7 linked regions of the Mus musculus genome follow. The protein of the gene in region 5 binds, or shares a complex with, the protein of the main gene of each other region. Links are inferred from orthologs where the notes say so. Each region holds a gene or a part of one and is shown on either strand. Other genes may lie near its edges. The genes, in order: Sf3b2, Rbmx2, Snip1, Snrnp40, Gpkow, Srrm1 and Plrg1.

Region 1 (2,518 bases), on a different chromosome or scaffold from region 5:
TCACGCGTTGCATGGAAATCGGATAGCCCGCTGTGGCGACCCCTTCTGTGGTTATTTCGCCCACTTCTGCAAAAGAAGCAGTAGGTAGAGATCCAGGGGCCGGCCACCACCTAAGGAGCTTAAGTTCCAGCTTGACTGTGGGCAGGAGCCAGTTGAGCTAAGGTTGTCTAGGTCCAACAGCCTTTCTTGGTACAGCGCCCCCGACACAGCCTTCTTTACAAAAGTCCCAGAGTGCCTCGGTGCTTTCTCAATTTCTAGAATTCTATTTCTCTCAAGGCCTGATCAGCTGCCATCCCCACACACCCCCACCCTACCTAGAGCTCTTGCACTCTCCTACACCCACACCTTCTCCCCAGTACTTGAGCAAATGTTATGGAATCCTGTGCTCCAACCTAGTCTAGTTTTTCAAAAAACTTCTCAGAACTCAGTGACGAAGACAAAACAAGCCCTTCAAACCCACCCACCCACCAACACACACACACACTAGTAAATCCAAGTAGTTAGCCAGTACTCTGGAACAATTGAGATTTTATTTAGAGACAGATGTTCTCCAATAGGTAAGAAATCGGCCTTTCTGCCACAAGGTCAATGAGGAAGGCCTGACCTGGCCTACTTCCCTAGCCTACAGTTACTTCCCAGCCTAGCCACGGTGCTAAGCTGGCTATTTTTATTCCCCACGGACAAAGCAGTAAGGTCAGACCAGACCCAAAGGTACCTTCAGCAGAGCCTTCACACACAGGAGGGGTAGGGATAGTGAACTACCCACAAGTTCAGTTCAGAACTACAGTCCCATAGTCCTATGGGCCATCTGTGATTACAGGCAAGAAGTAGATGCTTTTGCAGAAGCTAAAAGAGAGAGAGGTTCAAGAGCGCCTGTATTCATCCTTCCTTGGGAAACAGCTTTATTTACAAAACAAGTCTAAAATAAGAACAGGAAGTGACGAGCCTAGGGAGTCCAGATCTAGCTTTAGGGAGCCACAGAGAAAGCCCAGACATACAAAGAGCCTAAAGGCAGGCCAGCTATGCGAGCAGGACCTAAAATTTGAACTCCTTGTATTTCTTGCTGCCCCCACGGCTGTCCTGGGGCTGAGCTTTCCGTTTCTTTTGCTGTAGGAGAGAGAGAGAGAGAAGTTACAATAGGTTAGACAACCCCAGACAGGAGGCAGCCTGACCCAGACATAAAATTAAGGTAAAAAGCACTGAAACCACACTCTCCTCTCCCCCTGAGAGCTAAATGACTTCCTTCCTCTTCCTGAACTTAAGAGACTGCCACCAATGGAGCATCTCGGAGACCTTCAGGCACCGAGTCCACCCGCCTCTCCCTCCACCAGAAAGGACAGCCCTCCTCCTAGGCCCACAGGTTGCTCCCACCTTCTGCTTAGCAGCATGCTCAGCCACCATGTCGCTGAAGTCTTCCTTCTCTACTTGTGCCTGCTGCTCCCGAACGTGCTCCTCGTACTTCTGCGTCATGGCCATGGGGTCCAACTCCAATTCCTCAGGCGCCAGCGCTACTTCCACACCTTGCAATTCAGGGGCTGGGCCCTTCCGGCTCATAACCTGAAAAATTCAGAACCTTATTATCTCCAGACTCTCAGAAACGCGGGCTCCATCTCAGTTACAAAACAATGTTCTCCAATGCTTACCGTGGACATGTCATAAATGTGGGTGGATCCCATCATGGCTCCCCCAACAGTGGCTGTTCTCTTCTCTGGCAATACAGTGAATAACTGAGGTGTCTCACTTCTGCAAAGGACAAGAAAATAAAACCCAATAAGGGGCAAAAGGGTCTCCTGAGTCAAAAGAAACATAAGTGACACTTGAATTCTAAGAGAATCCCAAGATAACTACGGCTGAAGGTTCTGCCACTGAAGGAGGCCCATAAGAAACGCTGGGTGAGGGGTGTGGAGTGGGGTCAGTACTGGCCCCACAGGACACAATCTGTAAGGGGTACAGAGACTAAGCTAAGGGATCCTTTAAGCCAAGACTCATAAGGAAGCATTAGTGGACAAAGAGGCTAAAGCTTCATAGAAAGCTTTCCAACAGAGAAGCTGTCAAAAGAACAGGTGAGGGCCAGCAAAATAGCACAGCTGATAAAAATCCTTGCTGTACAAACCTGACTGAGTCCCATCCCTGGAACCCACATAAAGGAGAAAAGAGAAAACCAATTCCACACACAGGCGCACACACACGCACGCGAGCACACACACACACACACACACACACACACACACACACGCCCCCCCATACACGCCCACATGCGCATGCGCGCGCGCACGCGCACACACACACACACACACACACACACACATCAAGTATGCACACACAGTAACGTTGATTGCTTTTCTAAAAGATCGAAGTCAGGTCTGGTGCTGTACTCAGCACTTCAAAGGCTAAGGCAGGCGGATATTTGTGAGTGTGAGTAAGAGACCAGCCTGGGCTACATACTGAATTCCAGGACAGGCAGATCTATATAGGAAGATGATCTCAAAAAAACAAATAGTAGAGGTGTTTCACACCA
Region 2 (3,108 bases), about 41 Mb from region 5:
GAGAGAGAGAGAGAGAGAGAGAGAGAGGAAGGAAGGAAGGAAGGAAGGAAGGAAGGAAGAAAGAAAGAAAGAAAGAAAGAAAGAAAGAAAGAAAGAAAGAAAGAAAGAAAGAAAGAAGAGGAAGAAGAAGAGGAAGAACCTGGCAGTGGTGGTTAATCCCAGAGACAGGTAAATTTCCTTGAGTTTGAGGCCAGCTTGGTCTACAGAGCTAGTTCCAGAACAGCAAGGGCCACACAGAGAAACCCTGTCTTGCAAAAACAAAAAATATAAAGTTTGGGGGGGGGAGGTAGAAGGTAGACAGATTCTAAGGAATGACGCCTGACCTAAGGCATCACACTCATGAATGTGTGTTCATATATACAAAGTTATATACATTTAACAAGAAAACAGCATGCCCTAGGAAAACATGAGGACTAGAAACATGAAATTTAGTGCTATGGCTGCTTTTTCAACAAAGTAATCAGGAGGCAAAATGAGACCAAGGGAACAAACTTCTTTTGTTGTTGCCTTTGATTGTGATGGCAGTGGCAGTAGAGGTGGCGGTGGTATTGAACTTACGGTCTTTTTTTTCTATTTTTATTAGATATTTTCTTCATTTACATTTCAAATGCTATCCCAAAAGTCCCCTATACACTCCCCTGCCCTGCTCCCCTACCTACCCTCTCCAGCTTCCTGGCCCTGGCATTCCCCTGTACTGGGACATAGAACCTTCCCAGGACCAAGGGCCTCTCCTCCCATTGATGGCCGACTAGGCCATCCTCTGCTACATATGCAGCTAGAGCCACAGCTCTGGGGTACTGGTTGACTATGACAGAGAGGCACTCTCGTCTCTGAGCTCCATCCCTAGCCCTACTCCTACCATATAGGAACTTCTAGTTCCCAAGGATTACTGGGCTATAAGCTAGAGGTTTCCAAGAGAACAAGAATAAAATGAATCCTTTACCCTGTATATAGTCTGTTTTCAAGCACATACACTTACTATGTGGGCAACATCATCTAAGACCTAAAGATTAATTTCACTGTTCCACTACAAGGGTACATTTTTACTTCTACTTTGAGGCTTTTACTTAAAAGCCTCAAAAGCTTCTGTCATCCATTCTATTTCTCATTTTGATACACTTTTTGAAAAAGCAATTTTCCTCTGATGGTGATTTCTTGTGAATGCCACTCCCTTAAAATTTCAGAATGGCTTACTTTTATAGACTTGGTCATCAGATTTTAACTAGAGAATTTCCAGGAGCCAATATGTTAAGTCACAAAAGTCATTGACTAGATACACATGGCTCGTAGCTCATCAAGCCATGATGAAGCTCCCAGTTCCCTGACACAGCACAATATCCAAGAGCAGTGTCCCTAGGCTCTTCATTCTCTAATGTACTAGAACAGATGGAAAATGTGCATAAAAACATCTGCCAGATAAGGGGGCGCAGACCCACGTTTCTAGAACAAGTTTGCTAACAAACAGGGGAAAGTTACAATTCCTGGAAGGTGCATGAGCCAGAAAATGGTTTCCTGGAATCCTTCCCTATCCAAGTGTGTCTACTCACTTCCACAACCCCCACGGTACACCCAGATGACCAGTACTATTCGTGCAGCTGTAAACAGAGGCAAAAAAAGCGAAGCCTCACCCATCCACAGGAAAAGGTCAGCCAAAGAGCACACAGTAAGCACATTTACCTTAATTCCATTGAAATTGTCAACAGCCAGAACTGTGCTCCTCTGGTCTTCATAGCACAGGAAACAGAATCCTTTGGATTTCCCAGTCTTCTTGTCTCTCACAAGATTAATGTTGACAATCTCCCCATATCTATTTTATAAAAAGTTTTATTCATTTAAAATTCACATAATAAGAATACTGTAAATGACACAGTAGGTTGAAAGTAAAGAGTTAAAGTTGTTAAAAATAAATTCTAATACCTACAACATATACTCAAAAATCAGTGTGATAAAACTAGAAATAATAGTTTAAACAAAATCCTGCTACTGGAACTAGAGAGATGACTCAATAGTGAAGATCACTGGTTACTCTTCCAGAGGACCCAGGTTCAATTCCAAGCGCACACTTAGAGGCTCACAGCCATCAGTAACTCCAGTTCCAAGGAATCCAGTGCCCTCTTCTATCTCTCACATGGTGCAGACATACATGTAAGCAAAACATCCATAATTTTTTTAAAAAATAATTTTTAAAAAACTTGCTACTAACTAGAACTTGAAACCTATTCTCTTAGCTAATAGTTGGATGAACTAAAATGAAAAATAAATTAAAATGTCTATGGTATACCACTTAGAAATTAAAAAAAAAAGAATAAAATACATGAAAATTTGTAGGATGTAGCTAAGCCAGCTATACTTAGGGAAAATTGTAACCTTAAAGAATTTGATTCCTTAAAAAGAATGAAAATAAAATAAAACAAACTTAAAACAGGCTTTAATAAAGACCAAAGCAGAAATTAATTGAATACAAAATAGAAAGTCGAGCAGCAGCGGTCGCCATCTTGGTCCGGGACCCGCCGAACTTAGGAAATTAGTCTGAACAGGTGAGAGGGTGCGCCAGAGAACCTGACAGCTTCTGGAACAGGCAGAAGCACAGAGGCGCTGAGGCAGCACCCTGTGTGGGCCGGGGACAGCCGGCCACCTTCCGGACCAGAGGACAGGTGCCCGCCCGGCTGGGGAGGCGACCTAAGCCACAGCAGCAGCGGTCGCCATCTTGGTCCGGGACCCGCCGAACTTAGGAAATTAGTCTGAACAGGTGAGAGGGTGCGCCAGAGAACCTGACAGCTTCTGGAACAGGCGGAAGCACAGAGGCGCTGAGGCAGCACCCTGTGTGGGCCGGGGACAGCCGGCCACCTTCCGGACCAGAGGACAGGTGCCCACCCGGCTGGGGAGGCGGCCTAAGCCACAGCAGCAGCGGTCGCCATCTTGGTCCGGGACCCGCCGAACTTAGGAAATTAGTCTGAACAGGTGAGAGGGTGCGCCAGAGAACCTGACAGCTTCTGGAACAGGCAGAAGCACAGAGGCGCTGAGGCAGCACCCTGTGTGGGCCGGGGACAGCCGGCCACCTTCCAGACCAGAGGACAGGTGCCCGCCCGGCTGGGGAGGCGACCTAAG
Region 3 (2,436 bases), on a different chromosome or scaffold from region 5:
TGGTCCTCATAAAGCCCTAGGGGCAGGTGGAAACAGGTCAAGACCATGGCAGGAATCTTTTCTTTTTCTTCCTTTCATCTATTTATTTATTTATTTAGAGGTGGGGTCATGGTATATAACCTACACTTAGAGGATATACTACCAATCCTGCTTAGCCTCCCGAGAGCCCGGATTACAGGCCTGCACCACCATGCAGTGGAAGAACTAATATCTGGATTTCTGACACCAAGTTCAAGCCCCTCATACAAATGTTCAAAGATCACAGGTTGTTAAGACGTACAGTACTCCTTCAGTCCGGCTCATTAGCTACAAGGGGTAATGGGCTCAGTAGCATTTCCACACAGCCAGCCAGCCTTAGGAATACTAAGTGAGACATTCACCCATCTCCCTTGCCAGTTCTCCCTCTGGTCTACCTACCGGTACTGGAAGACTGCATGTTGCTTTGAGCAAGAGGGATGGTCGATGGGAATGTCTGCGATGCGTCGATGTCTACCCAGAAGGTATGCACTCTGCCGATGGATGTACATGACTGGAAGTACCTCATCATTTTTAAAGGGGTAGAGGCGCCACCGTTTTTTGGGGATCCGGGCTTCTGGGGGCTCACTGTATTTAATAACCACACCCCGGAAGGTATTGGTGTCCTCAAGAAGTGCCCCAGAAAGTTCAAAGCTTGGTTTCTCTTTAACGGGCACCTCTTTGCTTCTGTTCCCAGCAGGACGAGGGATCACCTCCTGAGCCTCACTGCCAGCACTTTCATTCTGCTGGCGGTGCTCCCGGCGCCTGGCATTATGAAAGTCCCTCTCTTCTTCCTGGGCCTGCAGGTTCTGGCTGTCTCTATCCCGATCCTGTCCACTGACGGGCCTCTCATCAGAGCTCCTCCCTTGGCGGGAATGGCCCCGGTGCCGGTCTCGCTCACTGTTCCGAGCTCTCCTGTGCTCCTGTTCTGATGGTTCCCGGTGCTGCCGATCCTCTCGTCCTCTCCGAGGATGGTCCTCACGTTCCTGAAAGTCAGATGGGATTCAGTAAAGGAAAGATGGCATCCACTCTGTGAACAAGCTGCAGGAGCTGGATGGCTCAGCAATTAAAAGCACTGACTGCTGTTCCGGATGACCCATGTTTAGTTCTCAGCACCCACAAAGCTGTTCACAGCCATCTACAACTACAGTTCCAAAAGGATCCAATGCCTTCTTATGGCAAATGTGGGCACTACATCTATGTGGTGTACAGACAGGCATGCAGGCAAAACACCCACATAGGCAAAACAGTCTCAAACAACAACAACACATCTGTGACCTGGATTCTGGTATTCAGAACAAATTCCTATCCACACAAGGCTATCAGTGTGGTTCTTCCCCCGAAGGGCCAGTTAGACTCCATACACCACACTCTTCCTCAAGCCCACATCCAGATCCCTCAAAACAAGGCGACAAACCTCAGTCACCTGCAGGCACTCACAGGGCAGCAGGTGTAGAAAACAAAGCAGTCGCATTTAAGATATGTAAAGGGAAAGGCTAACTTCCTCATAGGCCAAAAGGAATTGAAATAATTTCAAAAGCTTCAGTTCAGCAATTATAGAGATGATTCAAACATCTATGGATAAACCTAAGAAATGTGAACGCCTCAAGAAACCTACAAGAAGGTACTACTTAGCAGTTTCCAAACTCCTGACAAAATGGACACACATACTGAAAATCAACCTGGCAGAAAACAGCAATACACAGAGTCAATAGACCAGTGAGCTCTCGGCACAGTGACACACACCGTTTGTTAATCCCAGCACTCAGGAGGCAGAGGCAGAACTCTTAAGTTTGAGGCTAGCCTGGTGTACAAAGAGTTCCAGAGCAGCTGAGGCTACACAGAGAAACCTGTGTGGAAAGAACAACAGACCAATGAGAGACCACTTGTACTGCAATAGCTCCAAGGGCAAAGCATGACGGCAGCAGTTTCCAGAAGAAACCTACACTTAACCAACCCTGAAGACATTTGTTCTAATAACCAGAGCACCAATGCTAAAGGAAATAGGAATCTTCTCAGATTAGCAATTCCTGTCAGGAGAGGAAGGACTGCACACCTCTAATCCCAGCCTCAGTAGTCAGAGGTAGGTGGATCTCTAGGGGTTAGAGAGAGAATGAGAACAAGAACCTGTCTCCAAAGGGGCGGACAGACAGTCAGACAGACAGACACACAACACACACACTGCTGGTGAAGTTCAGTTGATGGTATACCTTTAATATCAGTACTCAGAAGGCCGAGGCAGGAGAATCATTAAGCGTTCTAGGCCTGCCTGTGCTGCCAAGCAAGTTTCAGGCCAACCAGGGCCTAATTAGCAGGAGATAGATACCCTGTCTCAACTACAAAAATATGAAATCATGCAAATTTTTCCCAGTTTATTAAGCAAGTCATCAGGGTTCAGACATTTTGTAGCATGTGTCAGAA
Region 4 (4,003 bases), on a different chromosome or scaffold from region 5:
CTTTCCAATTAGTACATTTCCTTCCTTTTATTTTACACATGCCCTGCTTTAGCATGACTATAGTTTAACTTGGCAATTTAGACTGATGTCTGAGGATTTCTATGGCACTCAAAATTAAAGAGATCATTATTAGCAGAGAGCTGTATGTAACTCCAGTTCAAAATTGTGCCTTACGTATTAGCCGGTCAAATCCTGCAGAAGCCAGGGTGGATCCATTGGGGTGAAACTTGCAGCAGTACACTTCCCCCTCATGTCCCGAGAGCAGCATGATTGGAGCTTGAAGGGAAGAACACCTGGGCGGTCCCTAAACCAAAGACAAGTGTGAGGCAGCCATTGTCCACAGGCAAAGGAAAGCTGGGGCAGCGCATCTCATCTGGGTCAGGGATAGCACAGATCTCACCTGGGTCAGCGATAGTACCCCTGCTCACAGAACTCTCTGACAATCCCTTGGACAGTCCAGCATATGCCCAATGCGCTTTTTTCTCCCTAAGGCTGTCTCTGTTCCACAGACGACTTCTGACTGCTTGATCATGTTGAATCCACTTATGCTTCAGAATCTTAACATAGAAAGATGTCTTTCACAAGAGACCTTCCTTATTTTGTATCTTTTAAATATTTCCTCCTCAGAGTCTGTCTTTCATCACTCAAACTAACCTACTTTGAGTGAGGTACCTCCCCACACCAGTATTCCACTAGCTCCAGGGCAGGCGGTCAAAGCCCCATCACTACCTGAATTTCCCTTTCTTGCCTTTCTTTTTCCCCAAAGAGATGAAGCTCTGGGAGTACAGGTACATTCTTCATTTTAGTCACCATTTTCCTGTCTCAAGTTCACCCAGCTAGCCTTTGAAAAACCTTGTATGGTACAGCTTATTACGCAAAATAGATTTTGGGGGAATGAGCAGGGTCTTAATATGTAGCCCAGGAAGGTCTTAAAATTTTCAGTCCTCCTAAGAACAAGTGTGTATCACTGTGCCAGGCTTAGCAAAGTAGATTTGATTATGATCTTGGAGAATAAACCTAGGCAATCTTACTCATTAAATAAGAACAAGTGTACTACCAATAATCCTGAAATCTCTTTAGCAGATTCCGGCAGACTTACTTATTTTTATTATCATGTACTATCTATAAGCAATGGGTTTCATTTTGATATATCCATAAATGCAAATAATGTACCAAGATCATACTCATCCAACATTTTTATTCAAAAAGTGTCACATGTTGGCTAAAGAGATGGCTCAGTGGTTAAGAGCACTTACTGCTCTTCTAAAGGACCCAAGTCCAGTTCCCAGCATCCACAATGGGCAGCTTTCAAGGGCTGTAACTTTAGGGTCAGAGGATCCAACATTCTTTTCTGGCCACTGAGTTCCCCCTCCCCACATATGAAACACACACACACACACTCACACTCACACACACACACACACTCACACACACACGCCTAAAACAGCACTCAGTAAAACAGTAGACCTTGCATTCTAGTGGAAAGTGAGAGAAAGGCACACAGAGCCACCCAGTGCTGAGTGCCATGGGAAGAAACAGTATGGGTTCCAGATTACAGGACACTCCAACTTGAAACACAGTGGTCAGGAAAGCCCCTCTGAAAACCTGGTGTCTGAGCAAAGATTTGAAAGAGCAAACAGCTGACCATGTGGGCATTTAAAAGAACATTCCAGCAAAAGCACCAAGGAAAGAAAGAACATTATAAGTCGGTGTCTTGAGCCAAGTGACATGCCAGAAAACTGGTAGATGAACAAGGTAAGGAGGGGATTATTACAGAGAATTTGATTTTTAAAAAAACGCACAATAGAAAGCCAACATAATGTTTTCAGCAGAGTATACCATGTGACTTAATATTTCCATGATTCCCCTGGCTACTGGATTAATAACCAATCCTTGGTTCAAAGACAAAAACCAGGAATACTAAATTAAGCTCTACCTGCAGTGATGTCAGATGACATAAAAACAGTTTTAACAAGAAGGTAAAAAAAAAGATCATAGTTACACAGATCTCTTCTCTTCTCTCTTTCAACAGGACTTTGCCATAATAAATAGCCTACACTGGCTTGGAGCCATGGATCTTCTGGATACAAAAAAGTTTGCCTTCCCCATTTGCAAAGTAACAGCTTCTTTCAGTCAGGTACCATGGTTAATGGAAATTTCACACGCAAAACATCCAAGATAACATCCAACGAGTGTTAATTACAATTATAAATGCAGAGAAAGAAAAAAGTTCTACCAGGTAGTAAAGCGAGCTATCATTCATTTCCATTGCCTCCCCTCTCATTCATTCGTCCACTCTGCAAACTTTCCTGAATGTTTCTTTTATGCTAAACCCCTGAAGATTTAGGATGCGGAAGCTTGGGTCTTGATTTTGAGGCCAAGGTTTTAAATGATTCAATGCCACTGAAGGGCTGAAAACAGGCGTCTACTAGGGAAACACGTATGAACCACACAGAGAACACCAGGCACCTTCACAGAAGCCTATTTTAACTTCAGGCTCACTGTCTTTCCGTTCCCTCAGAGGCGACATCATCCGTAGGAAGAGGGGCGGAGGGCCAAAGGCGGGATGACTCCCCACTTACCGCCTGCAGCAATGCCCCTGGAGTCGCCTGCTGCGGCCCCGCTCCGGGGCCGGCTCCTGCCGCTCCCAACAGCAACTCATGTCGCGGCCGCTTGACGGGAACCAGGGGTAGCTCCGGGCCCTTACGCTTCTGCTGCTCGATCATGGCGGCAGCCACTCTCCTCGGCGCCGCCACTAACCGCGCCGCCGACCGGAGGCGCCGCGCAATTGGTTCCAACTGAGTTCTTCCTCCAGAACTTCCGGAGAGGAGCAACCAATTGGCTTCTAACATTTCCTTCTGGAAAGCCCTCTGAATACACTCTTGTGATTGGTCCCATTCTGATGACGTCACGAGAAGGCGACTCTGGGATTGGGTCGCGGAGCTGGCGTTCTCCCCCGCCCCCTCGGGCGCGCAGTGCATCGTGGGTGAGAACGAGCGGAGCAGGTTTGGCGTTCCTAGCTATGAAGCGGCTGTCCTGCTAGGCGCGGACGCGGAGTGAGTGTGTGGGGAATCAGGCGGGTGGCTGTTCCAATCTGGAAGGTGCGAGGTGGTGATAGGCCTGAGCCTGCCCTTTTCAGCTATCAGCCTTAGCAGCATGGGGTGGCAGGAGGTGTCGCCGGAAAGAGAAGTCCCTTGGTAGGCTGGAGCGGAGCTTTGGCATCTCTGGCTCCAGGACTCGAACCCTCAGACGGCTATCCCTTGACAGCTGCTCTGCAGGATGCCAATTCTGCGTCTAGCTCTGTGCTGGCCCGAGTCCTGGCCTCCAGGCTTCAGTGCCGGACTTGGCTGAGGCGGCGGACTTAGTTGTCACTGATTTAGCCGTCTTTTTAAAAGGGCTTTAATTTATGTCCCCGAGACAGCCAGTGATGAGGAAAGTATCAGATGGTTCTTCCGAAGCACAGTTTAGTTGAGAAATCGAACAATCATGCTTGCGTGCCAGGTCTTCTCGAAAGTGGTCCAAATGATATTTATTGTGCAGTGCGTTTGGGGGTCATTCTGAAGAAATATGGTCCTCTACCCCAGAGTGTGGGAAACGTGTTAAACAAATTTGATGTTAAACAAAAACCATTTGATCGGAAGACTACCTAAACAAGCGATGCCTCTTGCTGTGAGTTACTAATATAAACTTGAAGGCTTTTTAAAGGAAAAGACATCTGAGCGGTTCCTATCTGATGGGACGGTTCTAATTAGGGGAAGAGAGGAAGGGAGAACGTTCTGCACAGAACAGCAGGTTCTATCAGTCGGAAAGATGAGGGAGACACAAAGAGCCGGTGTGGGGGGAGAGAGAGAGCGAGAGCGAGAGCGCTAGCTTAAAGTGAATATGGTATGGGATGAACCTGGAAGTCATGAAGATTTGCAGGAAGTTGAAGCTTTTACTTTAAAATTAATAGGAAGCCAGCGATAGTTTTCTCTCTCCTCCAGAATGTGGTGCAAAAGAGGAC
Region 5 (3,500 bases):
GCTTACTCACTCCAGCTACCTGACATGGCTTCAGGAATATGTTTTCTTACCTTGCCATAGAGGCCCCGGTAGGGGCCAGAAAGGACAACCACAGCTCTTCCATGCATCAGCCCTTGAGGTTGGCCTTCCTTATCATTCTCTCGATCCCCATCTGGTCTTGGTGGGTGGTGAGAGCCTACGGAGGCCAAGTCCTGAGCCTCCATCCGGTTGGCACCTAGCCCTAAGCCCTTCGGCCTTATAGAGTTGACTCGGGGCTTCACTACCCTGCAGAGAAAAATAGGCTTGTAGGAGTACAAAAGGCAAGCCTTCCAATATCCAACCCACCTCAGCAATCCTTGTTTTAATTGTTAATTTACTTGTGTATGCTTGTACACCACAACACACATGTAAAAATCAGACGACTGCTTGGGGGTGGGAGGGGCTGTTCTCTTTCAGCCACGTGAGTTCTGAGTTCATCAGGATTACAGACAAGGGCCTTTACCTGCCCAGCCATCTCACCAGCTCACATCTGTATTTAATTACCCTTTCTGATACCATATAAGGACTCTGTGAGTTATAAAAATGCCAACTTTTCTTTTTTTGTGGTGTTAGGGGTCAAATCCAGGGCTTCAATGCATAAGCCATTCTACCATTGAGCCTCACTTTTAGTGCCCCCATAGCAATTTCATGTAGTGTAACTAAATTAACTTGTCCCATATACTCTTATTACTCCTATCTACAAGTGCCAAGTTAGGTTTGTATAAACAAATATACTAACTAATATATTTACAGAAGAAATCATAATATGTACACAGAGCAAGGGGAACAGTAAAGAATGTTCACTATCAATCACAGTCATATCTGGCTTACCAAATGACTTAAATTCTTTGGGATTTACAACTGCAAAGGGATTTTGCTTTCAGTTCTACAGATGGAAGACCTTTTACATGGTAGGTAAGCTACACACCAGCCCAACAAAAGGACTATAAGTCTATAAAATAAGAGAAAAGATGCTTAGTTTGGGGGCTGGAGAGATGGCTCAGTGGGTAAGAGCACTGACTGCTCTTCCAAAGGTCCTGAGTTCAAATCCCAGCAACCACATGGTGGCTCCCAACCATCTGTAATGAGATCTGATGCCCTCTTCTAGGGTGTTTGAAGACAGCTACAGTGTATTTACATATACTAAATAAATAAATGTAAAAAAATGTTTAGTTTCTGCTAGTTTATTAGGGACTAAATCCTACTCTTGCAACAAACCTGTGAAGTTAGTACCGCCTGCATTTTTCAGATGAGGAAATTGATCCACAAAGAGGACCTTAGTGTTCTTTTGGAATAACAACGCTGTGGAAACCACAGTTTGAAACAGTAGTGGGTAACTAGTGATAATGTCCTCCCTCAGCACCTAGATAGTTCTAGATTAAATGTAACTACAGGGGTCTTATTTATACCCATTGTCCCCCCCATTCCCCCCACCAAACTCACTGACTGAAGGTATTGCCGATGCCCTTGCCAGGTTTCCATCCCATGCCCCGCAACATGGCCAGCCCATAGGCCTCCACAGGGACTGCCTCATAGTCGGCTTCCTCCGGCACCTATTGGTCAGGCAGGAGAAGAGAGTCAGGTTTTGCTTGGGATGGGCCCTCTGCCATGCACTTGCTGCCTGCCACTCACGGGCTGACTTTCTCTAGCCCTGGCCCCTGAACAGATAGCTTGAAGGACAGTTTTCATTTCTTATCACTCCTCACTCTGCTCCTCCACCCCCGAGTCTTTCAGTAACAACAAAACGTTTTTTAGGATTATTTTATGCTATGTGTCTGAATGGTTTGCTTACATATATGTATGCCCATGATGTGTGTTGTGCTTGGTTTCAGTGGAGGTCAGAAGTGAGCATTTGATGCCCTGGAACTGGAGGTATGGAGCAAGTGTTCTTAACTCTGAGCTATTGCTCTACTGCCCCTTCTTCCCAGTCTGTCTGCTTGAGACAGGCTCTCACTATGCAGCTCTGGCTGTCCTGGAACTCTCTCTGTTGACCAGACCAGGCAGGCTTTAAACTCAGAGATCAGCCTGCCCCTGTCTCCTAAGTGCTGGGATGTAATACATGGACCACCATACCCAGCTTCAACAAATATCCACATGCTTTCAAAAGATTTACAGGACCTTTTATTTAGGTGCTGAGGATAAGGAACTAATAAAATGGAAAAAGTCTGTTGGGCCTTATGATCTAGTTGTCAAGACATACAACAAATCGAGTTCTGAAAACACGATACATCAAGTGGTGACACATTTAAAAATAAAGTGGCACTGTCCAGTAGGCCCTGCTATGTATGAGGTAAGGGAGGAATCTAGCTTAAACCCAAGAATTTGAAACCAGCTTGGGCAACATGCTGGGACTCCCCCCACCCCCAATCTCAAAACCAAACCCAAACTCAAAAAATACCTGGCTAAGGGAATTCAAAGGGAGATGGGAGCCACGACCTGACATTTAATCAGATAAATGATAAAAGATAGCAGAACAGATGAGGATGTGAGAAGACTGCTCCAAACAGACTCGGTTGTAAAAATAAAGGGCATACTTGGGAGGTGGGAGCAGCTTATCTCTGTGAGCTCAAGGCCAGCCTGAGCTACACAGTGAAGCCCTGTCTCAAAATACAAAACAAGCAAAAAAAAGAGCCTGCAGTAAGGTTAGACTTTGTATGTATGGTTAAGAACCATGGAAATCAACAGGAAAGGTGGAAGCAGAGATGGTAAGGAATTAATGAGGAGAACTGGAAACGTCATGGGACCAAGAGTCACATGGGAGCCCCAAGAAAGACCCATGAGAAACTTAGTCCAGATGCTGCCTCTGCCCAGGATGCTAGTAATGTGGATGACTAAGAAGCTATTGGCTTCTGGATCTACTGAAGTGGAGATGATGAGGTTGGGCTGATAGGCTACGTGTAGAATATGAAATAAAAAGGGAAGTCAAGGATTGGCTCCAAGGATTTTAAGCTGAGAGGACGGATGGCTAGAATTGTGGTCATCTGAGATGTAGATGGTATGGAGGCTTGGAGATGGGGAAATTAGAGAGATGAGGTCAAGGCCAGAACAGGATAGAATGAAGTATGGGCAAGAAGCACAGCTCATTCCAGGACAACCAGGGCTATACAGAGAAACCCTGTCTCGAAAAACCAAAAAAAAAAGTATAGCTCAATAACAGGCATTTTAGCACAGGGAAGGTCCTGAATTCCAATCAAAGCATGAAAAGTAAAAAGAAAAAAAAAGTTTTGTTTTCTTAAGGAAGGCAAAGTGGGACGTAGTTTGCACACCTTTAGTTCCAGCACTTGGGAGGCAGAGGCAGGCAGATCTCTGAGTTTGAGGCCAGCCTAATCTACATAGACATTCAGAACAGTCAGGAATACAGCAAGACCCTGTTTCCAAAAAAGTAGGGCAGACCAAAGCCTGATTATAGTTGTAAGCATGAAGTTCAAGGTCATTTTTATCAACAGAGTGAATTCAAGGCCAGCTTAGACAACATGAGACTG
Region 6 (3,500 bases), on a different chromosome or scaffold from region 5:
TTAACTGCTCTATTCATGCATAAATGAGGCAGTCACTGAAAACGTGTCTAGTTTTAATGTTAACTATCAACAGCAAGAAAAAACAAACTAACCGGTTAAAAGCCCAAACCCAACCAGCTTTGACACGAAGAATGTGCCCAATTGTAAAGTAATTTCGAGGGCCAAGCTATACACTACAGTTCCAGCCCAACCACAGACAGTCAGAACTATTAACGAAGGCTGTTACCGAGGGGAAGTCTCTTTCTGGCGCTTTCGAGGTGATGGAGAGGCACTCCGAGAAGGGGAATGTCTCCGCCGCCTGCCTACCTCACCGTTCTTTACATGGGATCTCTTGGGCCGCTCATCTTCTGAGGTGGAAGAGGAGCCAGAGTCTGTAATCACAGAGCAAAGAACAACAACAAAATATCACACACTCACACACTCACACACACACTCACTCACTGCCCCCTGTAGTACCCCTTGGGCCCTTACACTGCATGCTCAAGGTCCTGGGTTCTACACCCAGCACTGGGAAAAACGTTTCTTAGAGGTTAAGACTCAATGACTCCACGTTTACTTAGTATGGATGGCATGAAGCCATGGGTTCAATTCTCAGTACCATCAGGACAACCTACACTTTTTATTTATTATTTATATGAGTACACTGTAGCTGTCTCAGACACACTAGAAGAGGGTATTAGATCCCAGTACAGATGGTTCGGAGCCACCATGTGGTTGCTGGGATTTGAACTCAGGACCTCTAGAAGAGCAACAGTCAGTGCTCTCTCTTAACCTCTGAGCCATCTCTCCAGCCCCCATCAGGACAATCTAATCAGTACAATTTTAGTGACAGTCAACAGTCCACACCTAGCAGAAAACTAGCAAATATAAGACTAGTATATCTCAAAAGTACTAAGGCCTGCACGGATCTCTTAGGAAAAAAATCCAGGGATGTAAAATCAGGCTCATTGGTGTATGTGCACATCTGATGACAGGGAGGTGAAGGACGGAGAATATGAAGTCCAACATGAGCCTCGCAACAAAACTCTAGTGAATTCTTTCCCAATTAATAAGGTAAGGCTTCAAAAGAACCTCAGGGCTGACGGTCAAATTCACTGGAAAAGCCCAACCCAGCATGTGTTGCACATCAGCAGCAAGAAAGCAACAAAAAAGTATCAATATGCCACTTGAACCAGAAAATAATTACAACTATAACCTGAGCGATGAGGGTGTGGCTGTGAGTAGAGAGCTTGCCTCAGCACATGGGAGACCCTGGGAATCAAACCCCAGTACTGCATAAACTGAGTCCAGTGGTGCAAAGCTCAACTCTCAACACTTAGGTGGAGTCAAAAAGACTACAAGTATAAGGTCATTTTTGGCTACAAAGCAAGTTCAGGGCAAGCCTGGACTACATGGGACATTTTCTTAAAACCCAAAACCAAACTAAAGCCACACAAAACCCAAGTAAGTAACACAAGAACAGAGCCCCTGGCTTAAACATTAGGCTTCTGTGCTCTTTCTTTTTAATCAAACAATCAGAACTACAGTGAGTTCCAGGCTAGCCCAACTACATAGTGAGGCCAAACAAAAACAAAACACAACCAAATAGCTACTAGTAATAAATGAAGTAGATTCATAAAAAACTAGTATGATCATCTAAACCAGAGACTCCTAATTATATAGAACAAAGTTGCAGAAAGGCTTAGGAGTAGACTCAAATATTAGGGAATAAATTAGTCTTTCCAATTTCATTTTCTGTTTTACTATTGTACTCTACGCCAACTACCTTTTGTTTTGTTTGTTTTTTTTTTGAGACAGGGTTTCTCTGTGTAGCCCTGGCTGTCATGGAACTCACTCTGTAGACCAGGCTGGGCTCAAATTCAAGAGACCTGCCTGCCTCTGTCTCCCAAGTGTTAGAATCAAAGGTTTGTACCACCAACGCTTGGGTCCAATTATGTTATATTTAATAATGTTGGGAATAGAGCCCAGAGCTGTGCACGCAGTACGCTGTACTCTACCAGAGCCATGTTCCTAGCCAGATTTATTACCTTCCTAACAATACAGCAATTTAAAAGCAAAATTTAAGGGCTTAAAACAAGAAAGAAATACCCAGTGCCCAACTGAGACCTATGGCCCAAACACAACCCATGAAGGCAAACGGTTCAATTTCCAGCACCCACATGATGGCTCACAACGTCTCTAATTCCAGATTCTCACTGGATCTGATACCCTGTCTTCTGGTCTCCTTGGGGACCAGATGTAAACATGGTGCAGACATGCATGCAAGTGAAATACAAACAGGCATAACATTGCAAAATGGGGGCGGGGTGGAGTGGGGGGAGAGCCCCAGGGTCTCATTAGTCCAGGCTGGTCTCAAATGTACAATGTAGCCAAGAACAACAGAGCTTTCCCCCTCCTGCCTCCACCTTCTGAACCACAGGATCTCAGGCTTCTTCCGCTTTGCTCTTCTGGGGACTCTCACTATGCAGCCCTTACTGGCCTCACACTCTACAGGAATTCTCCTGCCTTAGCCTCCCAGTGCTGGGTTACCACAGGTGTGAGAGTGGAAGGCGCTCATTCGCTTGTTGTCCATACCAGATGAAGACTGCTGGTTCTGCCGTCGGTATTGTCTTCTCTGCTGCACAGAATCAGCTGCAGCCATTTTGCTGCCTTTGTCTTCTTCTGAAAGATGGGTGCATTTAGACAGTGTTTCTTTAGTTACACACAGGTAATGTGACACACAACACAAGGCATCAGCCCAGTCCATAAGATAGGAATGCTATAAACATCCCAGCCAGCTGTCCAAACCCAAAATTTTGTCCAAATACAGAAGAAAAAGAATGAGGTCCTGGACGAATAACCAAACAGCGCACACTTAAATGCCACAGCTGGGAATTGCAGAAAGTCTGTGTGACGTCACCTTCAGCTCTTCCCTACTGGGTGCCCTGGACAATCAATCCCCAACCCCAGGGAATAATCACACACGGAAGGAAAAACAGAAAACCAACCTCTAGAAAATCATTACAACTTACCAGACTCAGACAGCTCCACTTTTCTAGGCTTGGGTGCTGGAGAAGGTGACTCTCTTTTCTCAGTACCTTTATGTTTTGTCACTAAAAAAGAAGAAAAATAAACCTCACACAATAAAAAGAACAATTTTTTTGTTTTGTTTTGTTTGTTTTGTTTTCCAGACAGGGTTTCTCTGTATAGCCCTGGCTGTCCTGCAACTCACTTTGTAGACCAGGCTGGCCTCGAACTCAGAAATCTGCCTGCCTCTGCCTCCTAAGTGCTGGGATTAAAGGCATGCGCCATCACTGCCCAGCAGAACAATGTTTTAATAGCACAAGAATGGGTTAGACTCCTCACATGAAAAAATTAACCTAAAATTTAAACATGGAAAGCTTCAAAAACTAGTTCTACAGGGCTAGCAAGAACCCTGCACCAGCTGGGCAGTGGTGGCACACGCCTTTAATCCTAGCTCTTAGAGGCAGAGGCCAGAGGCGCAGGGGCGCAGGGGCAGA
Region 7 (3,500 bases), on a different chromosome or scaffold from region 5:
CCAAGGGGCTGCACAGCGCATCAATGTCACCAAACCTGTAGCACTCAACTGCAACCATACACCAACTCACAACATCAGTACATGTGCGAAATAATGCAAACCCACACCCACCCACAGTTCAGTGCATGTGTGCGTGCGTGCGTGCGTTGGATCCTATTACCAGTGCAGCTTTTTCCCAGTAACTGTAGTAAGGAAAAGTAACTTCAAGAAATAAACTGATTCACTGGCAGAAATAAAAGCAATATAAGAACCTAGGGGCAGGGCCTGCCCAAGATGAAAAATACCTTAGCACTATAAAGATGGTTTCCTTGAAATTATTCTGTGTGTGCAAGCGCATTCATGTGGTAAATGCAGGTACAGGTGTGTGCATGTGAAGGCCAGAAAATGACAGGTTTTCTGTTCTATCCCCACTCTACTGACACTTTGAAAACGGGACTCTCACTGAACCTGAAGCTAAGGATTTCATTTTCTGGCTAAGCTGGCTGGCCACTGAGCGCCAGAGCCCCTCTGCCACCCCTACTTTGATTGGCCCGCCCCAAATGCTGGTGTTACCCACAGCCACACACAGCTTTCCTGTGGTGCTGGTATTGCCCTCTGGTCCTTGTATTTACACAACATGTGCTCTTAACTGAATCAACTAGCTCCCGGCCCCAATGCTTGTTCTTCTAAGAGTGAGGAGCAACTATCATGATCACAGTATTAGCCATTTACAAACCGACTATGTGTATCGTGGGATTCTTTAAAAAAAAAAAGAAAAGCAACTTACCAAAACCATGTGTTTAGGGCTATGAAATGCTAAGGACTAACCCTGGCTGCTATTTGTATTAAACAGAGCTCAAGATAGTACTGATTTCAGTATCTATGTAAGACTTTTAGGATAAAAGAGCAATCATGTTCCGAGAGTCAGGAGACTTACAGAATTCATTGCTGTGGGCTGGGAACGGTCAGAAGCCCCTGGGTGTCGGTACTCACTTCCAGCAGGCCCAGTACGATTTGCATCAACTCTGCAGAATAGATAGATCAAGAATAATCACTCAGCACATCCCTAGTTATGTATTCTCCAAACTTTCTTTTAGGATTCTGGGAGACAGTGGGAGACAGCTCAGTTGATAAAGTGCTTGCTGTTCCAGCATGAGAAGTTCAATTCCCAGAACCTTTGTTTGAAAGAAAGAAAGAAAAAAGAAAAAAAGGAAAAGGGCATGGTGGGCATGGTGACACATGCTGGTGATCCTAGTACTGGAGACAATTCAGGCCCGTGCCCAAGGCCCGCTAGCCCAGCCTACTTGCTGAGTTCCAGGCCAGTGAGAGATCCTAGATAGAAAAAGGTGGCAATGCTGAAATGGTACAGTGTGGGCAAAGGTATTGTCTTAGTTAGGCTTTTACTGCTGTGAATTAACACCATGACCAAGGCAGCTCTTATAAGGACATTTAATTGGGGCTGCCTTACAGGTTCAGAGGTTCAGACCATTATCATCATGGCAAGAACATGGCAGCTCCAGGCAGGCATGGTGCAGGAGGACCTGAGATTTCTACATCTTCATCTGAAGGCTACTAGCAGAATACTCCCTTCCAGGCAGCTAGGATGAGGGTCTTAAGCCCACAGCCACAGTGACATACCTACTCCAACAAGGTCACACCTAATAGTGCCACTCCATGGCCCAAGCATATACAAACCATCACAGGTATGTGCTATGAGTTCAATCACTGAACCTACAACAGAACGAGAACCAATTCTCAAAAGCTGTCTGTTTATTTACACATGAGGGCTGTGAGGTGCACGAGAGTGCACACACACAAACACACAGTTTTGTTTTGTTTTTTCAAGGTGGATAGATTGCATCTGGAGCCGGGCGTGGCGGCACAGGCCTTTAATCCCAGCACTTAGGAGGCAGAGGCAGGCGGATTTCTGAGTTCGAGGCCAGCCTGGTCTACAGAGTGAGTTCCAGGACAGCCAGGGCTACACAGAGAAACCCTGTCTCGAAAAATGAAAAAAAAAAAAAAAAGAAAAAGAAAAGATAGCATCTGGATTCCACATTTTACGTGTTAACAAGAAACAAAACCCAAAGCCTGCAAACACTGAGAATCTATGTAAGTAGAGCGTCAGTCATACCTGGTCTGGGACGGTAACGCCACAGCGAGGGACTGTGCAGCTGACTCACTTGGCATTCTCTGGATCTTAGTATCAGCAGTCAAGGCAACACCTGTTCACAACAACCTTCGTTACACTCAGCTTGACTTGGGTTTTAATTCCTTATAATAAATACAGGCTAATACACAGATCAAATTTGACTGAACACAAGCAGCTTGGTATTAAGAGAACGCAAGACAATAAAGTTAATTTCCTATTGATTCAGACAGTATACTCATAAGCAAATAGTAGTCATGCAAATATTAACAGACTACTTCCAAGAGTAAATTAAGTGACTAAAAGAAGTACACAATGCCCATGTGAACTGCAAACATAAGGCTTATTGTCCTCTGTCCAAGCATATTTGCTTCCCTCATGCCAGCCTGTCTATACCCATGCATTCAAGTACATCTCAGCCATACATCCTCATCTATTTCAATTTAGGTACCTGACAACTGTCCGAGCCAACAGACACTATGTCTGTGTAGACACAGTGCCCACACATCTGTGCGGCCTTACTGTTACTTACCGGGTCCTGCTGGGTATGGATGGGTGCCTGTCACCAAATACTCAACATCTTGTCCTAAAAAAATAATAAATTCATTGCCAGTGAGTTTGCCTTTATCCAAGTACTGCCTTTTCAAAGGTATTATAAATATTAAGTTTTCCTTTCCAACTCTACAGAAGCCTCAGAAAGGCAGGGAGTTGATGGTTCTGCCTGTAAGCTGCTAATAAGTCAAGGCGCCCCTCCCACTGACCTGTTCCAGCTGTTCTTCACAGTAAATAGTTTCACATGGAATAGCAGAGTCTTTGTAACTATAATTTCATCTTTTCAAGATAAAGAACTCACAGATGGTCTCCCCACAGGCTAGGAATCAACTTGAGTTTTCCCTGTAGACACCACTGTAATCTTGCCTACCTCCTAAGAGAATCATAATCATACATTCTGTTTTCTAGAAAAAGTCCTCACCTAAGCATCTTCATTACTACTCTGACGAGCTCATCAAAACGGCCACCATCACAGCAACAACTAAGCAGTGCCCCCAGGGAAGCTCTAAGGAGACATTTTCTCCTATTTTAAAAATTCACTTGTAAACCCGATGGTTTTCACCTTGGTTGGCGGGATACTGCTTATGAGGATATGAGTCTGTTGCGTTCTGAGGTCCCTTCTCCTTAAGGTTCTCTTTTGAAGTAGGCATATGCAGCACAGGACCATACTCATTGCGAAGCTTGATTGCCATTTTCCGCTTGTGACTATGTAAAGATCATAAAGATGAAATGCACCCGTAAGTACTGGAAACACACTCACCAGTGAAAAGAGTCAGCTAACCAGAGAAGCACAGAAGCAGACACGGTACTCCATGTCACAGAT

What was found.
Region 1: Gpkow (region 5) and Sf3b2 share a complex: the UniProt entries of both Homo sapiens proteins name them as parts of the minor spliceosome. The link is inferred for Mus musculus from reciprocal best matches to the Homo sapiens genes GPKOW and SF3B2.
Region 2: Gpkow (region 5) and Rbmx2 share a complex: the UniProt entries of both Homo sapiens proteins name them as parts of the minor spliceosome. The link is inferred for Mus musculus from reciprocal best matches to the Homo sapiens genes GPKOW and RBMX2.
Region 3: Gpkow (region 5) and Snip1 share a complex: the UniProt entries of both Homo sapiens proteins name them as parts of the minor spliceosome. The link is inferred for Mus musculus from reciprocal best matches to the Homo sapiens genes GPKOW and SNIP1.
Region 4: Gpkow (region 5) and Snrnp40 share a complex: the UniProt entries of both Homo sapiens proteins name them as parts of the minor spliceosome. The link is inferred for Mus musculus from reciprocal best matches to the Homo sapiens genes GPKOW and SNRNP40.
Region 6: Gpkow (region 5) and Srrm1 share a complex: the UniProt entries of both Homo sapiens proteins name them as parts of the minor spliceosome. The link is inferred for Mus musculus from reciprocal best matches to the Homo sapiens genes GPKOW and SRRM1.
Region 7: Gpkow (region 5) and Plrg1 share a complex: the UniProt entries of both Homo sapiens proteins name them as parts of the minor spliceosome. The link is inferred for Mus musculus from reciprocal best matches to the Homo sapiens genes GPKOW and PLRG1.

What each region holds. Positions count from the first base shown.
Region 1 is NC_000085.6:5,273,421-5,275,938, forward strand, and holds the end of Sf3b2 (splicing factor 3B subunit 2), read right to left. Parts: intron 1,744-2,518; coding exon 1,644-1,743; intron 1,558-1,643; coding exon 1,372-1,557; intron 1,108-1,371; coding exon 1,036-1,107; 3' UTR 501-1,035; downstream 1-500. UniProt on the Homo sapiens protein: Component of the 17S U2 SnRNP complex of the spliceosome, a large ribonucleoprotein complex that removes introns from transcribed pre-mRNAs.
Region 2 is NC_000086.7:48,705,004-48,708,111, reverse strand, and holds part of Rbmx2 (RNA-binding motif protein, X-linked 2), read right to left. Parts: intron 1,808-3,108; coding exon 1,678-1,807; intron 1-1,677. UniProt on the Homo sapiens protein: Involved in pre-mRNA splicing as component of the activated spliceosome. As a component of the minor spliceosome, involved in the splicing of U12-type introns in pre-mRNAs.
Region 3 is NC_000070.6:125,069,672-125,072,107, reverse strand, and holds part of Snip1 (smad nuclear-interacting protein 1), read right to left. Parts: intron 1,002-2,436; coding exon 418-1,001; intron 1-417. UniProt on the Homo sapiens protein: Required for pre-mRNA splicing as component of the spliceosome. As a component of the minor spliceosome, involved in the splicing of U12-type introns in pre-mRNAs. Down-regulates NF-kappa-B signaling by competing with RELA for CREBBP/EP300 binding.
Region 4 is NC_000070.6:130,358,929-130,362,931, reverse strand, and holds the start of Snrnp40 (U5 small nuclear ribonucleoprotein 40 kDa protein), read right to left. Parts: upstream 2,801-4,003; 5' UTR 2,727-2,800; coding exon 2,583-2,726; intron 305-2,582; coding exon 175-304; intron 1-174. UniProt on the Homo sapiens protein: Required for pre-mRNA splicing as component of the activated spliceosome. Component of the U5 small nuclear ribonucleoprotein (snRNP) complex and the U4/U6-U5 tri-snRNP complex, building blocks of the spliceosome.
Region 5 is NC_000086.7:7,700,134-7,703,633, reverse strand, and holds part of Gpkow (G-patch domain and KOW motifs-containing protein), read right to left. Parts: intron 1,572-3,500; coding exon 1,462-1,571; intron 265-1,461; coding exon 51-264; intron 1-50. UniProt on the Homo sapiens protein: RNA-binding protein involved in pre-mRNA splicing. As a component of the minor spliceosome, involved in the splicing of U12-type introns in pre-mRNAs.
Region 6 is NC_000070.6:135,329,147-135,332,646, forward strand, and holds part of Srrm1 (serine/arginine repetitive matrix protein 1), read right to left. Parts: intron 3,093-3,500; coding exon 3,012-3,092; intron 2,662-3,011; coding exon 2,575-2,661; intron 372-2,574; coding exon 227-371; intron 1-226. UniProt on the Homo sapiens protein: Part of pre- and post-splicing multiprotein mRNP complexes. As a component of the minor spliceosome, involved in the splicing of U12-type introns in pre-mRNAs. Involved in numerous pre-mRNA processing events.
Region 7 is NC_000069.6:83,058,538-83,062,037, reverse strand, and holds part of Plrg1 (pleiotropic regulator 1), read right to left. Parts: intron 3,383-3,500; coding exon 3,240-3,382; intron 2,712-3,239; coding exon 2,658-2,711; intron 2,202-2,657; coding exon 2,111-2,201; intron 1,005-2,110; coding exon 917-1,004; intron 1-916. UniProt on the Homo sapiens protein: Involved in pre-mRNA splicing as component of the spliceosome. Component of the PRP19-CDC5L complex that forms an integral part of the spliceosome and is required for activating pre-mRNA splicing.